2 linked regions of the Oreochromis niloticus genome follow. The protein of the gene in region 2 purifies or fractionates together with the protein of the main gene of each other region. This does not show direct contact. Links are inferred from orthologs where the notes say so. Each region holds a gene or a part of one and is shown on either strand. Other genes may lie near its edges.

The links. The genes of interacting proteins can lie anywhere in the genome.
Region 1: the proteins of kiaa0232 (region 2) and dyrk1ab purify together in Homo sapiens (affinity purification with mass spectrometry; 3 studies listed by BioGRID and IntAct, with this or other methods). This does not show direct contact. The link is inferred for Oreochromis niloticus from reciprocal best matches to the Homo sapiens genes KIAA0232 and DYRK1A.

Annotation. Positions count from the first base shown.
Region 1 is NC_031979.2:25,834,244-25,842,099, forward strand, and holds the start of dyrk1ab (dual-specificity tyrosine-(Y)-phosphorylation regulated kinase 1A, b), read right to left. Parts: upstream 3,011-7,856; 5' UTR 2,175-3,010; intron 2,119-2,174; exon of another isoform or gene 1,342-2,118; intron 376-1,341; 5' UTR 336-375; coding exon 306-335; intron 1-305. UniProt on the Homo sapiens protein: Dual-specificity kinase which possesses both serine/threonine and tyrosine kinase activities. Exhibits a substrate preference for proline at position P+1 and arginine at position P-3.
Region 2 is NC_031967.2:4,756,634-4,764,226, reverse strand, and holds the start of kiaa0232 (uncharacterized protein KIAA0232 homolog), read left to right. Parts: upstream 1-4,554; 5' UTR 4,555-5,114; intron 5,115-5,363; exon of another isoform or gene 5,364-5,585; intron 5,586-6,885; 5' UTR 6,886-7,218; coding exon 7,219-7,455; intron 7,456-7,593.

The DNA of each region.
Region 1 (7,856 bases), on a different chromosome or scaffold from region 2:
TAAAGCACTTCAATTTGTCATGACTACTTTGTTTTACTGCTTGTTCAGTTCAGACAAAAAAACAAAAACTAAACTAATTTTAATTACTTTGAGCTCTGCAATCAAATAAGTTGCAATGAATTAAATGGTAAATACTATACTGATAATTCTTAATTATTCATCTTTACTTGACTTTTTTACCCCCTAAAGAGAGTCCTACAAATTTGTGAGTCTGAATTTAAAACAACAACAAAACTGAAAGAGAAGCTCTTAGAAGAGCACTACTTCCTCACCAAAGGGTTAAGGCTTAATATATAGCAGCTAACCTGGATGCATCTTCTCCTGTAAAATTTCATATCATCCTGGGAGGAGAGTCCAGCAGCAAACCACAACCCACTACAAAGAATAAAAACAGAATATCATCATTGTGCATCTTTGGTGGGACTTAACTTCATAGGGGTTAAACTTTTCATAAGAAGGGACAGAGAACTGCTAGAGAGCAGAAGACACCCCAAAACTTTAAGAAGCTCACTTGGGGTAGATGTGTTAATGGAGGGAGTTTACAAACAGACCTCAAATTTGAAAATTTTAAGCTACTTGTGCTTTTGTTGTAAAGATAGTTAAAACCCAGGAAATTATATATTTGAAATACTTGCATATAGCTCTTGTGAAACTTCTAAATAGTTCTATCAGAGACATTAACTAAAACAGGATTTGCATTGTTGTGGATCTAGAAGAGCACTTGACCTCCTCTCAGCATGTTCATACCGATTTTAAAAATATAATCTAAATGGGGTGAAATTAAATACACAATATATTTTATTAAAATAGCCATCTGCTACTGTGAATCCAACTGGCCTTACTGCCATTACTGTTTTGACAAAGAACTGAAAAAGTTTGGTTTGAGAGAAATTCACAAACACAATGGCAGGCATTATACTAACAAAACTAAGAGGTAAAATTGTCTTTTAATCAAAAAGACAAACCCCACAGGGAAAATATCAGCTCTATTTTAACACAAAGCCATTTTGCAAGCGCACTTGTGGCTCTTTAGTCTCCCCCTAAATGTCTGATTCTTGTTAATTTTCAGTACTGACATATGAACAGTTCCTTTCCTGGCTCTAGTCATTACGGCATCAACGGGCCTATTTAGGTGTAAATATAACGACAGCTAGCTTGCTATTAGTAGCCGTATCATATCATAAGTGATGGCTAAAGACCTCTATAACAAGTCTGCGTGTCATCTTCTCACGCCCAACTGATTAGATCCATTCCAAAGCTGAATCAAACGAAACCAACCCAAAACAATTAAAAGCCTAACGCTCATGTATAAAGACCGTCCCCGGGTAGCTCTGTACTTACAGATGATGGGGTAGCGCTCGTCATGGTTGGAATTTAGGAAGCATATTCAGTGTTAATTTGCGTCCAGTCTTGCTACATATCGTTCGTGTGTGTGACTCCCAATTCCTCGCATAAATGACAAACGTATTCAGGCTCACGTTACCGTTAGCAGTCTAACTAGCTAACGCTGTCGTCGTTAACGTTACCCTGAAAACTGCGGGACAAGCAAGCATATCTCTCACCAATCCAGTGTTAACGTTAGCTAGTGACGCTGTGTGTGCAGCCAGCGGGTTGCGGGGCCCATTCAGCTGGTTCGTCAACAAGTCAGCGTTAACCATTAGCCGAGTTAGCCGATTTAGCTACGAGGCGTTAGCCTGGTTAGCTTCCGCACTCCATTGCTGTAAAAAACAAAACTACACCTCTGCAAGTAATATAGTTAGACAGTAATTCACAACGGAAATATGAGCCAGCAGAGCAACATTTTCTTCAATCCTACAATGACACTGTGTAATATCGCAGGGCTAGCTTTAACGTTAACGCTGTGCCAGCATGACTCTTCGCCCAAACCCACACAATCCGCTGCACCCCTCTCTCTCTGGGGTTAGTCCAAAAACCAGTTCGGATGCTGTTTCTGTCTGACATTAATAATCAGTTGACCTACTGACTGAAAGCAAACGTTATAGGTGGCTCCAGCGGAGTCGGCGCCGCCACAAAACGTTAGCTAGCCGCCATACCACAAGCTACCTTTCTCAACTTCACGATCGCGTCCATCATTGTTAACCATTGACGTTACACACAACATATACATCCACGAAAGCGTTAACCTGAACGCTTTCGCATAGGCTTTTGCTCACCTCTGATGGCACGATCTTCATTTAAAGTCCAATAACCTGTATGATGAGGAAACTTATCCAGTTTGAGATTCTCCCCTCCCTGCACGGTTAGCGAGTAATGTTAACGTTAAATCCAATTCCCCCGTCCTCTGACCGGCTAAAATAATTCGCCAGTCAGGTTCATTGCGCTCTTCATGTCCCAAGCACTATTGAAAAACATCGCCTGTCGAAGAAACTCTTGACTAACGTTACTATCAGCTGATGACAAGCAACATGCTAACGTTAACTAGCACGCATAACTCACCAGCTAACCTTAGCGAGCTGGCTAGCTAGTTGACAAAATGAACGCAGCTAACATTGGCTAGCTGTAGCTTCCGTGGCTAGCCTCAAGCTAACGAATCTAGCCACCGCTAAATAAATGTTCTGCCAAATTCAGATTTTTACGCCGTCTTCGCAAATTTGGCGCCGGCCACTTCGACAAACACGAGAACACGGTTAAATCCGGAGTATTTTAAACGTGAAACGGAATCCGTGTCCTCTGGTAATTTTGGTTAGGAATTTTGTGTCAATTTTCACAAAATGGCGCGCGGTCCAAACCTGCGCAGTGAACCGGCCCGGTGGACCAGAGACACGGACAACTGAGTTAGTGCGGCGCCGCCTAATTATTTCAACTGTGTTAAAACGTCGGCCTCTTGATCTTCTTAATCCGATCCACTAGACGCATTTCGATATCCAAAAACGTCAGACATATATCCACTGACAGCATTATTCCGGCGGGAAGGGAGAACATTTGAAAAGACTGAGCTGGGGAAAAAAACCCTCCTGACAAAATGGCGATGCTCTAGCTTGTTGCCATGGCAACTGTCAATCAAAAAAAAAAAAAGGTACCCGGATGTACCAATGACGAATAAGATCTAACTGGCCCGAGTTACAGGACACACATAACTCCGTGGTGTCCCTGTCTGTCTTTTTCCACCGCGTTTGGCCTGTTGCTATCAACCAGAAGACATTCAATATTTAGCTGTATCTGTAGACGGTTAAAGTAACTGTCTAAAGATACAGCTTCGTATAGCAATATAACCACAAAGAGATTCTATATCAGCCAACACACGGGCATAACAATAACAAAAGGTTAATAACGTGTAAACGTTTTATTTCTTTAATATTTATCTTTGTTAAAAATAGTCATTATTAGACACAGTAATGATGAAATGATGAAACTGTTTAATAAAGCATACACTGCAAAAGTTTTTGGGAGTTGCTAAAATTTCTTAATTCACAAAATTGGTAAGTTAATAGGTAGAAACTTAAAAACTTTATTAATCTTTATTAATTATTAATTAAATCTGTTTGCCTCCTTCCAGTTTTTTTTTCTTTTTTCTTTTCTTTGCATGCATTCACATCTTTCAGATAAAAAAAATAAAATTAATATTGTTTTAATTCAATGGACTTTTTTCAAGCATGAGCAACTTTTTAAGGACATGCAAATTTCAATCAAATTTAGTCTTGAACTTTCAACCTGTCACTCTAAAAACCTAATTTTGTTATTTTGTATATTTCAAATCATTGTCCAGCTGCGTAACCTAAGTGCCCTTGAGCTTCATGGCACAACCTGATTGCTGGACATTCTCCTCATGGATTTTCTGCAAGAGAGCAGAATTCATGGTTCTATCAATTAGGGCAAGTCGTCCAGGGCCTGAAGGAGCATAACAGCCCCAGCCCATCACAATACTACCACCATGTTTAACTCTTCGTATGAGTGTCTTTTTTATGAAAGCCTCTGCTAGTTTTATACCAGATGAAATAGAAATCAAACCTTCCAAAAAGTTCAGCTTTTGTCTTGTCAGTAAACTAAATATTTTTTCCCAGACGTCTTGGGGATCATTAGGATGTTTTTTGGCAAATGTGAGATGAGCTTTTGTGTTCTTTTTGGTTAGCAGTGGTTTTCTTGGAACTCTCCTGTGGATGCCATTTTTGCCCAGTCTCTTCCTTACTGTTGAATTATGCACTCCAACCTTAACTGAAGCAAGTGAGGCCTGAAGTTTGTTAGATGTTGTTCTGAGTTTTTGTGATTTCTTGGATGAATCGTTGATGTGCTCTTAGAGTAATTTTGGTAGGCCAGCCACTCGTGGAAATGTTCATCACTGTTTCACATTTTCTACATTTGTGGATGATGGTTCACTGGAGTCCTAGAGCCTTAGAAATGGCTTTGTAACCCTTCCCAGACCGATAGACGCCAATGACTTCTTTGTTTCTCAGCTGTTTCTTTAGATTGCGGCATGATGTGTTGAGATCTTTCAGTCTGCTTCTCTTTGTCAAAGAAGTTCTGTTTAAGTGAAACAGGCTGATTCACTGGCAGTAATCAGGCCTGGGTGTGGCTGGTGAAACTGAACTCAGCTTTCCAAAACCAAAATGTGGTTGATCACAGTTAATTAAGGATTTAACAATGGTTGTCCACACTCCACCAGCAGCAGCTCTATGTACAGTGGAACTCAGTTTGAGAACTACTGTGGTTGACTGCATTCGATTTTTTCTCTCTGTTCCTGTTAAAGATTCACAATGAATGGTGAAACTTAATATTTTTTTCACTTCACTGCCTGATTATTGTGGCCAGACAAATTCACTATAGCAATGTTATTAATGTTGTTTTTTCTCTTATTCTCAAACTGGGGGCTGGAGAGAGTGTTCATAACCATGTAATTGCAATAAGGCATTAAAAAATGACATTATTATTTTTTATTTAAAATATTGTCATGCATGCATCATTTCATTAAAGGAAAATTAGTTATTTTTATTATTATATTATAACAACGGTGGAAGCGATGTATGCATTTTACAGTTTTTCAATTATTTAAATGGAAAAGAGTCACAATATCATATATGTTAACACGTTACCAAGGAGGAAAGACAGCAGCAACGATCTCAGAGAAATAACTAGTATGGACCAGCAGTCTGAAAAGATTATAAGGCCATTCATGAATAACTTGAAATCCATCATTCAAGGCAGTTGCCAATCTTCCCAGCGGTGGATGTTCTAGCAAATTCACCCCAAGCTCAGACTGTGCAATTCTCAGAGAAACTGCGGCTTTGTTGTTGTTTGTTTGATGTTTGGCCATAATACACAGTTCTTGGAAAACCGAACACAACATGAGCATAAAGAACAACTGTCGAGCACGGTGGCGGAGGCGTGATGGTTTGGACTAGGTTTGCAGGATTGAGTCAGCCATGAACTTCTCTGTGTACCAAAGTGTTCTAGCACCAAATGTGACCGATAAAGCTTGGCTAAAACTGGGTTAGACAGGAGAATATTCCCGAGCACAGCAGCAGGTCTAAAACACAATGGCTGAAAAATATAAGAATTAAGGTGCTGCAGTGGCCCAGTCCAAGTGGAAAGACTTTAAGAGAGCTGTGTATGAATGAATGAAGAAACACTGTAAAGAAGAGTGCAATAAAAATTCCCCCACAATGATGTGAGAGACTGATAAAGTCATACAGAAAACAGTTACTTCAAGTTAAAGTTATAGAAGTTTTTGTATCATGCGGTGAACTTAGTTTTTTTGTTTACTTTTTTATTAAGCCAAACATATACGTGTCCTGGGAGAATATTAAGCCACATCAATTGAAACTAGCACAGTAAGTTGTGGCTCATGTATGATAAAAAGAGTTTAAAACAAAGAGTATTTAGAAAGCTTTTGTTGAACATTTACATATGATGATGTACGTCAGTCAGGTCTTGAGCAGGTAACACTTGCAGGACTTGTCTGAATAATGACTACATATAACAGACAAACGCTTAAAGATTCAGACATCTCAGAGCTGGAGAAACAAGTTGAGCCAGGAAATCTCATGCTAGTGTTTTGTGTTGACCGGAATGGTCTGGGAGTTTATTCCTTACTATCATGAAATAAAGACTTTATAAAGACAGAAATATTGATTGAAGATATCTTAACAGCAAAACAACGGGACAAAAACAGACTGTGTAGTGGAATGGGCTAATTACTTACTGTAAGTGCAAACAGTGACCTTTTCTAACTGTAACTGACATTTCTCATTGTTACGCCTGTTTTGTGATATGTTTAGGCTATAGAAATAAAGCAGATTAAACTAATTTAAATTAGATTATTTAAATTCATTTTTACCGCAGAAGTTTGAAAGTTTACTTATTTATCTGTATCTGTAAGACTCATGTCATTATCACGAGTCATGCATGTGTAACATGCTTTCCAGTGTCTGTGTTTTCAACAACAGTTTGAGCAAAAGGCCACCATGACTGAGATGTCTGCAGTGATAATGAGAAGTGTTCTTAAGTACTGCAACCACAAAATAAACAAAGTTAATATAATTAACTCATGTTAAGCGCTTAACAAGAGACAAGGAGTTTGAGGCAAGGAGTTTGCACAATTTTGTAATAAAGCTCGCATATCTAATTTTATACTGGATGTTTAACTAGCATCTGGGAAACTGTAAAGTTTTACTTGCTCATTTGTTCATTTTCAGGTCAAACACTCATGTAACAGCGAAACCTATTGTCTGAAAAATGTCCCTAAAACAATATTTATCTTGACACATGTACTGCACGCAGCAGTGAATTTTACTTTAAGAGGTCGCAAGAGGTTCAATTCATTATAATGAAAGGGAAGTTGTAAACTTATGACATCTGCTGGCTGTGTGGATTCCATATTAGGAGACATACATCCAGTTGAGTGACGAAATACAAAACAGTCTCCATTCTGAATGATCAGTTCAACTGATGGTAGCGTCAAGCTTTAAACAAAGGGGCATGGGGCTGAAATAAAATTCAAGCACCAACTTGTGGCTTTTATTGTTAAAGAGCAGGACTTCACAAGCACACTAATCCCTCAGGAAACAACTGCTTTCCCTTCATACTCTACCTGTTTCAGGTATCTGGAATACATAACACCAAACAAAATTTGATACAAAGAATAAATATTTACACAAACATGGATTCATATAGATATTAAAATCATATAAAACCTTTAAATATTTACAGATAATAGAATTAGTTTGACTGAAGTGCCTGAACCTGTCACGCTGGTTTGCCCCAGGGGCGCTTAAGCAGGTGATTAAACTCCTGTTCCTCTTTTGTCTCATGTTCTGTTAAAGAGACAAGCAGGAAGAAGTGAGTACTGATAGTATGTGCAATAACTGAACCCACGTAGTTTATATAATTATAGACTGAAAATTAATTATGATCAGTCATCAGTGTTTATGATCAATGTTTTCACTTAAATAATTCTCCAAAATATGCACTAAACCCAAATGATTCCCCCCAAAATCAGCGTGGGTCGATTTTCATTTAGCTCACAATATCAACCATTCGTGAACTCACAAACATGCAGCAGGTAAAGGAACCCCTGGTTTTAATACGTGTTCTAGCACATGTACATTTTGTGAAGCCAGGACCAATTTGTACTGAAGACGTGCTGGAAATGGCCCCAGCAGCCTTGGGCTTCTGTCTGCCATTAATATAGAAGAAACCATTTGGGTCCATCACTATGATGGTGTAAGACTGTCATTCCTGCTGATAACCTATCTAATACTGATAATTAATCATGACCATTTATGCCATCTGGACGGCTGCATATGGGACTGTTCACTAGCTGACTGAGAAATCTTATTTTTGTGAATCTTTGGACTGTCTTTATGTTTTGCACAAATTAAAGTTCCATTGGCCTTTTTTAC
Region 2 (7,593 bases):
TACTTTAGCTTATTAATATGAGCTATTTTGAATGGCATTAGGTACTATAAAATGTATAGAGTGGTTTACTGTACAACTGATAAAGTGCTACCTAATAATGACATAAACGGGGGACCTTTTCTTATATAGTTTAACTAGGGTGACCATATTTTGATTTCCAAAAAAGAGGACACTTGGCCCAGTCATGACGAATTTTAATAATACTGTTTGTTTAAAGAAAATGTTAACATATTTAAAAGATGCCTTCTCTGTGTGGTTAATGAATGGTGAAATAAAAAATGTCATATAGGCTTTTACAAGTCAACAAGTGCAAAAAAAATAACTTAAAAACCTCTGGAATTAAATAATGTTACAGAAATAATGCCTCATCTGTATAAGAAAAATTACCAGTGAGGTACCAGTGAGGTATTGTGCAATGGTTTCTGCTGTTTCATTTGGCGTTTCTAACCTCAATTAATTTTGTTTGCACGCCACCATTCTTCCAGTCAAAGTATGATTGGGAATATTTTCTCTGTTCCATGGTTACTGAAGTCTGAGAAATGCCACAGTAATGGATTTCATTAGCTTCAAGAGTGACAATAGCTTCAATCTTGGTGCAGGCACTGCTGAACTTTTTAGCTGTGTTAAAGTCTGGAAATGTTGTTTTTTTGGGGGTTTTTTTTTTTAGCAACACACTAGTGCAATCCATGGGTCTAGCTATTCTGATGCCTCGTAGTATGAAATGCCAGTGCACCTTCTGCTCCAGATACAACAGCATCCTCATTTTTCCCAGGTGTAACAAAGAACTCAGTCAACTTACTAGATGAATTTTCGCCTCGAGCAGCCTTTTTATGTTTTTCTGTGTCCATGTAAGCAACAAGATCTCCGGCACCTTTGTTAGACATACAAACGTATGTGCCAGCTCTGCACACAGTGCACTACGCCTCCCATTTATTCCGACCGGGATGGTACGAGGTAAATTTCTTTTGCAGTTTGTCTAAAAAGATGCACTTGCGCTTTGGCATCTTTTCAGCGTGCCGCTCCACGCTCTGTCCCATCTGTGAGCGGGGAACAACCACTTACAACACAGTAGTTCGGGGATGACGTTGCACATATGGGTCTTCTGTAGGAAAACCCGGACATTTTCATCCATCTCGAAAATCCCCCCGGACGCCCCAGATAGAACGTGAAAAGTGGACATGTCCGGGGAAAAGAGCACGGTTGGTCACCCTAGTTTAACAACATAGCTTACCTCAAATTACAAAATATCATGACTCAATGTTAGCATTGTTAGCAAGTTCGCTAGGTAAGCACAGATTTTTCAATTATTCTATATATTGCACTTAGTCTGAAAGATGCTCAACTGTAATTTCTTGAAACCCACTAAAGGCTTTATAAAGACTGCTATACTCTCCACACCATTTTATTTGAATATCTAAGTTTTTCACAATTAATAAAATGTTAGGCCCTCAAAAATACCACAATGACATATGTCAATCTTCTAGAATATTCTCCTTAAAATACTTGCCACTTTATGCTGTAGATGTGAAGGTTACTACAAAATAATGGTGACTAGTCGTTGTCCTGTCTCTCTCTCATCATTGTTGTGACTTGACACTATATAACTTAAATTGAAAATACACAGCGGAGTAGTGACCTTTAATGAGGCAGTCAGGTGTAGTAAATCTCTTCACTGAAGGGAGCTAATTGTTTCTAAGAACTTGAAATGTATGTATCCCATTGTGTATAGTTTCTTTGAATGTTCATTAAAGCTTTCAGTCGTGAGTTCGTTTATATTTTTTGCAGCATGAAAATAGAGAAATTTGCAGGAAACTTCAAGTAATGAGGTGATATTTTAAAACTCAAATCAGTATCAGCTTTGGTTGCTCTCATGCTTGTGACAAATAAAAGATTTGACCCACCATGTGAATGAGAACCAATTTCACTTTGAAATGGTACTGTGTGCTCTGTTGAAAAGCAAAGCTATAGCATTATGAGAAACATTTTACTGTCATAACATTGTAGTGGAATCACCCAGAGGCATCCTTCCCTACCCCCACTTCCCTAACCCCTTTTGCTGCGAGAGGATTATAGGGCATCTTTTAACTCTGCCATCTGTTCCAAATTGACTTTCAATTAACACTGGCAAATGAGAAAGCTGTCAGAGCAAAGAGCAGAGCAGATTGAGCTGTTGCTCTCTGAATGGAGGGTCCTGTACCACATCCAGTCCATATTCAATTCAATTCAATTTTATCTATACAGCGTCAAATCACAACGTCAGTTGCCTCAAGGTGCTTTATATTGTAAGGTAGACCCTACAATAATGCATACAGAGAAAAGCTCAACAATCATATGACCCCCTATGAGCAAGCACTTTCACGACAGTGGGAAGGAAAAACTCCCTTTTAACAGGGAAGAACCAGGCTCAGGGAGGGGCGGGCATCTGCTGCGACTGGTTGGGGTGAGAGAAGAGTGGACGATTTACTAAATTTACTAAAGAAATCAACTTGTAATAAGAGAAAAATGAGGCCAAAATTGATATATATTTTGTTACATTTGATTCTTGTTTCTGTAGATTAAATTTGATTTCAATTTGGATAATTTGAAATCTAATTTACATCTAATTTAGACTGCCTGATTGATTGTATTGATTAGGCTATCAGGATCTGCTAGATTTTTTTAACCCGACTCTGTGCTTTTGATGAGTATAGGGAAACTTGTGGTATTACAAAACCGTACTTTCCACAGAGCCCAGCGTTGTGTATTTTAATCCTCACAAACCGTTTGGACAGTTTATAGTTACTGCTGTGCAAATTTGGTGATGAGATACATGTGAAGATGTCAAACAGCCTTGGGCTAAACTGCTGCTGTGCTCATGGCTGAGGCTTTCATGAGATGTTATCATGTAACAGGAAAGGCAAAAAAAAAGTGAGGCAGAAAGTAAACAATGAAAAAAAAAAACCATCTTGAATTTGCAGTGTGCACAGAATGTTGATGCTGAAAACTTATAATTCTTCCTCATGGCTTTAGTTTCCAGGTTACAAAAAGTCAATATGAATTTGACTTTTTATCCCCAGTGCTCTTGCAGGCAAAACAGAAATTCATATGTGGCTGTTGTGCACAAGCTTTGCATACCTGAATTTTTACAGGACTTCCCCGATAAAGTTATATATTACAACACAGTTGTCCAACACTTTCAAATGGGATATTAACTTGCCAGCTGCCAAGTTCACAGCCTATTTGATGTTGAATTGTTCTAATTTTGGAATATTGTGGGTAATATTACGATGTATTTACAGTTAGCTCTCTCACCATTAGTGCTAACCTGATTGAAGCACACTGTGCTGTGTCTGTGTGTGTGTATCTGCACACATAGTGGTAGAAACAGCTGGTCAATAGGCTTTGGCTCGTCTCAGCACAAAGGTCATAACCCCTGGGGTCAGATAAAGAGTGCCACACTATAGATCCTTATTAGAAGGCAGTCCATAGAACAAGCACCATCAACCCCCTCTCAAAACACACAGTTTTATGCTTTATTTATGATTTTGTGATTGTATTTGCCTACAGAGAGGGGATTTTTACAAACATGAGCATGCTCTCAACTGTACTGCTTAATGTGATGACACTGTGCATTGGTTGAATACTTGATCAACATGCACAGTAGAAGAGAGAAGCACAAAAAAACCATCAAAGATGAAAAAAATAATACAGCACAAAAACTAAAGACAGTAGCTGTTTTTAACACTCAGTTTTACTTTAATACTTCATATGTTATAATTTCTCCACAGTTGGCTGATGGATTAATAACAACATATGGAAAAATATGTGGGACTGGCTGCATCACATATTTTTGACACCGCTGCCATTTCTCAACAAATGCTCTCTGCAGGTAGACGGATGATCCATAACTGCCAGTGGACTGTCAACACACTACTGCCACTGAACCAAAATTTCTCTATTTGCAGTAGTCTGGAGATGCTGATTGTTCTTGTTACTAAATCCTACACTGTAAATCTTTTTTTCTTGTTGAATTGCAGAGCTATACATAGTAATAGTGGTAAAAGTGACTAAAAGCTGCACTCAAAGTAGTAATGACAGACAGTATGAGATAAAGCTCCAGCTGTAATTAATAAAGAGCAAAAAGTCAAAATGGTCAGATTTTATTCTGACATATGTACTTGTATTTGTGAATCATACAGATAAACATGCCGAGTGTGTGTGGTCATCAGCTGCATCAGTTCTGCATCAGTTCAGACTTAGCCTGCTTTATTAAAAATATTTTTTTTTTAAAGTGTCAAATTAAGAGGATACCATTTCATTTTCTATTTGGATTTAAATGATGTCTGATTGTGGTTTCATTTATAAATGTGTAATATGTGAAATATAAGATATTGGCATTCAAATGACAAAGAGACAGCATGTCACAGTAAACAATATTATTTAATTGTACCTAAATGTCTACATGAAATTTGAATAATGTCTACAAATTCTTAGAACTCAGACAAGAAGGCGTCATTACTGAATGAAATTTGCATTTAACTTGGTCAGTATCATCCGTTTTACTATAGGACACGGTGATTTTCTGAGTTCTATCAACTCAAGTTTGTATTCCCACATAGTGAATGTTGGCGTTTCCTGTGTTAAAACAGCAATTTTTAGTGGGGGGACGCCGGAACCGAAACTACACTTCAGGGGGCGTAGGGGAGACCCCGTCAGACCCGCCTTTGTGAGTATAAACGATGACAGTACTAGATGGCCTTCTGATGCAATACCCCAGCGGAGGGATCAACCCATACGAGCAGGATCAGCAGCGGTTTGCGTTGTTGCTTGGATACGAACGCAAAGGGCGGTGCGTTTGGAGTCCGTTTCTAAATGAAACTGCCGTTACTCAGCGGACATTTTGGCTCTGCGCGTAGTCTCGTCACAGTGTGACCTTCTCTCATGTTTGAGCCCGAATGACGCCAGTTTCCTTGACGCTGTTGAAGACGCACTAGACGTGAAAACAGCGCCATTTCTGTCGGCGTCCATGATAGCTATGCGACTGGAACAGATTCCAGAGCTCGAGCTCGGAACAGCAGCGGGAGAGAAATTGCCGCTCCCCTCTCGCTGCTTCTCTTAACTTCAGCCAACGGCAGGTACGTAAACCAGCGACTCACATGGAAGTTTTCTTTTTGCATTGAAATATCCTAGTTCCTACTTGGTGTTCCATGCTTAAGCAGCTTACTTCTTTGCCTATATACGACGATATGACGCACAATTTTGAAGGGAAACGTCTGAAAGTCCTCTGTAGGCTACCGGGCAGCCGCTCCTCCTCCCCCTCGGTCACAACAACAAGCGTAGCTAACCTTATGTAATGGTTGTTTCGGTTTTAATAAAAACGCATCTCCGTTTTGTTTTGACTCTGTGCTTGCTATTTTCATGTGCCGTGTTACAGAAAGTTGCTCAAACGTTAGCGTGTTGATATATTTAATAGAGAACTGTCAGGTCTCTGTAACCGAAACAAGCTCCGTTTACCTGGTCACCACTTCAGTAGCGTTTGTCTTCAGATTAAAAAAAGAAGAAGAAAAGAACCAAATTAAACAAACGCCTCGTTATAATTATGTATGGTAGGTGGTAGTCGTATTAATATTAAGGTCCGTCCTATGACCAAAAATGAGAAGCTGTCGGCAGCTAACTTGGCTAACGGCTTATTAGCTAAAGGTCGGTGGTCAAGCTAACCTTGCTGTTTGACTGCAAAATGACTCTTATAGCATAAGTCAGCGCAACGTTAGCTGACACCACAGCTGTTGGCTAATGACAGACTAAATGGTATATTGGCATGTTGATGACATTTCTGTCTAATACTAAATATTGTTTTAGATTTCCCTGTAGTTGCTTTGCCGCACTCGGTAGCTCAACGGCGTAACGTTAATGTCAGTTAATATTTGCGCGAAGTCACAATAAACTCGCTAAAGCCGCACGCATTTGTTTTCTTATGTGGGATAATTTAAGTACTGCTGCATAAAGTTGGTCTGTTGGTGTGGTGTCGTGCAGTGAAAAGCTAACTGCCGGCCGGAGATGGTGTGCATATAAGAAACAGCTGGGTTGGAGATACTGGTCAGCCATATTTAGTAGTTTTCGAGCTAGCTAACCTTTCAGCTGCTGTCCATCTGCACTTCAATAAACATTCTTATACATAAAGGTGTCGACTGCTGGAATCACGTGATGGCAAGCTCTAAGGCTTCGTATCTCGACCTTTTTATGTCGTAACTTATAATATACCACCGCTGAATGACGAGCACTGGAGCCAATCAAATCGCCGCAGCCTCCATTTGCTCTTCACGTCGGTGTCCTAATCCACCGCTGCTATACGAGCCTTCCCCTGCTCACTGCCCGCAGTTACACTCAGCTGTTGGGTTTGTCGCTAATACAGAACTTGTTGGCGATATTAGTCATGAAACAATGCGGATGTTTTGTGATCGTGATAAGTGGTATACAAAAGTAGTCAAACAGGAAGGATTTCTTTATGCCCTGCACTACAAACATGTTTCACTTTGTCTGTCACTTAAATGGCATGCAGACCTGAATAGCATGGACATTTGAGATTTATGTGAAGGGTCACAGTCGGCTATATTTTGAGGAAATGCAGCATTGCTTAAAACAAACCTTTTTATTCCGCTGAAAGAGCTTGGGCTTACTTCTTAAGATTTTATAGTAACAAAAAATAAATAAATAAAGATTTGATTATCTGACACACATGCTGCAGTTGGACCTGTTATAACATTAAATTCTCCTTCGTTTGCTCCATAAAATGCACTATATATTCAGCTGAAAGGAGCAAAAAAGTCTTGATCCACGCTGCTTTGCTATGCTCACTTGCATTCTACACTGAAAATATATGTGAGAAACTTGTTTGCTCTGTTTCAGGTTGTGCCGGTGAAGTAAGACGTAGCCCCAAAATGGACCCCTCTGACTGAAATGCAAACACGTCTTGTGTTTTGCTCAGAAGCTGAAATATATCAGCAGCATTAAGCCATGCCTGATGAGTAACATCCCCCCTTTTTGCTCAAAGCAATAAAAAAAAAGAAAAAAGGAAAAAAAAACATCCTACATGCCTCCTCATGTAGTTTGTACTGCTGGAGTGACGGCCTCCTCTTCCAGATAGGTTAATCGCCTCTGCACCTTTCTCCACCAACCACTCAGCAGTAAATACCTGTCATAATGTTGCTCTACCCGAGAATGGCCAATACCTGAGGTCCCATGCGTCCAGTGAGCACCGATTCAGACGGTCCTGCTCCTCCTGAGAACCTCTCTTGCCCCTACCCTCTTGTGGGCCCCCTGCCTGCCTCAAAGATGTCGCTGCTCCATTCGCTGGGTCCAGTGCAAAGCTGGCTAGGCCAGGAGCTTGAGAAGTGCGGGATTGATGCCATGATCTACACCCGCTATGTTCTCAGTCTTCTCCTGCATGACAGTTATGATTATGACCTACAAGACCAGGTGAGAATTTACAACCCTAAAGAAAACTTCTTTTACCCTAAAGAAATTATTTTCATTGCTGGTGTAGGAATAAAAAGGTCTCATCAGGGGAATAAGTCAGTTTGCCAGGAGAGGTTCACAGTGTGGATTTTCTTTCAC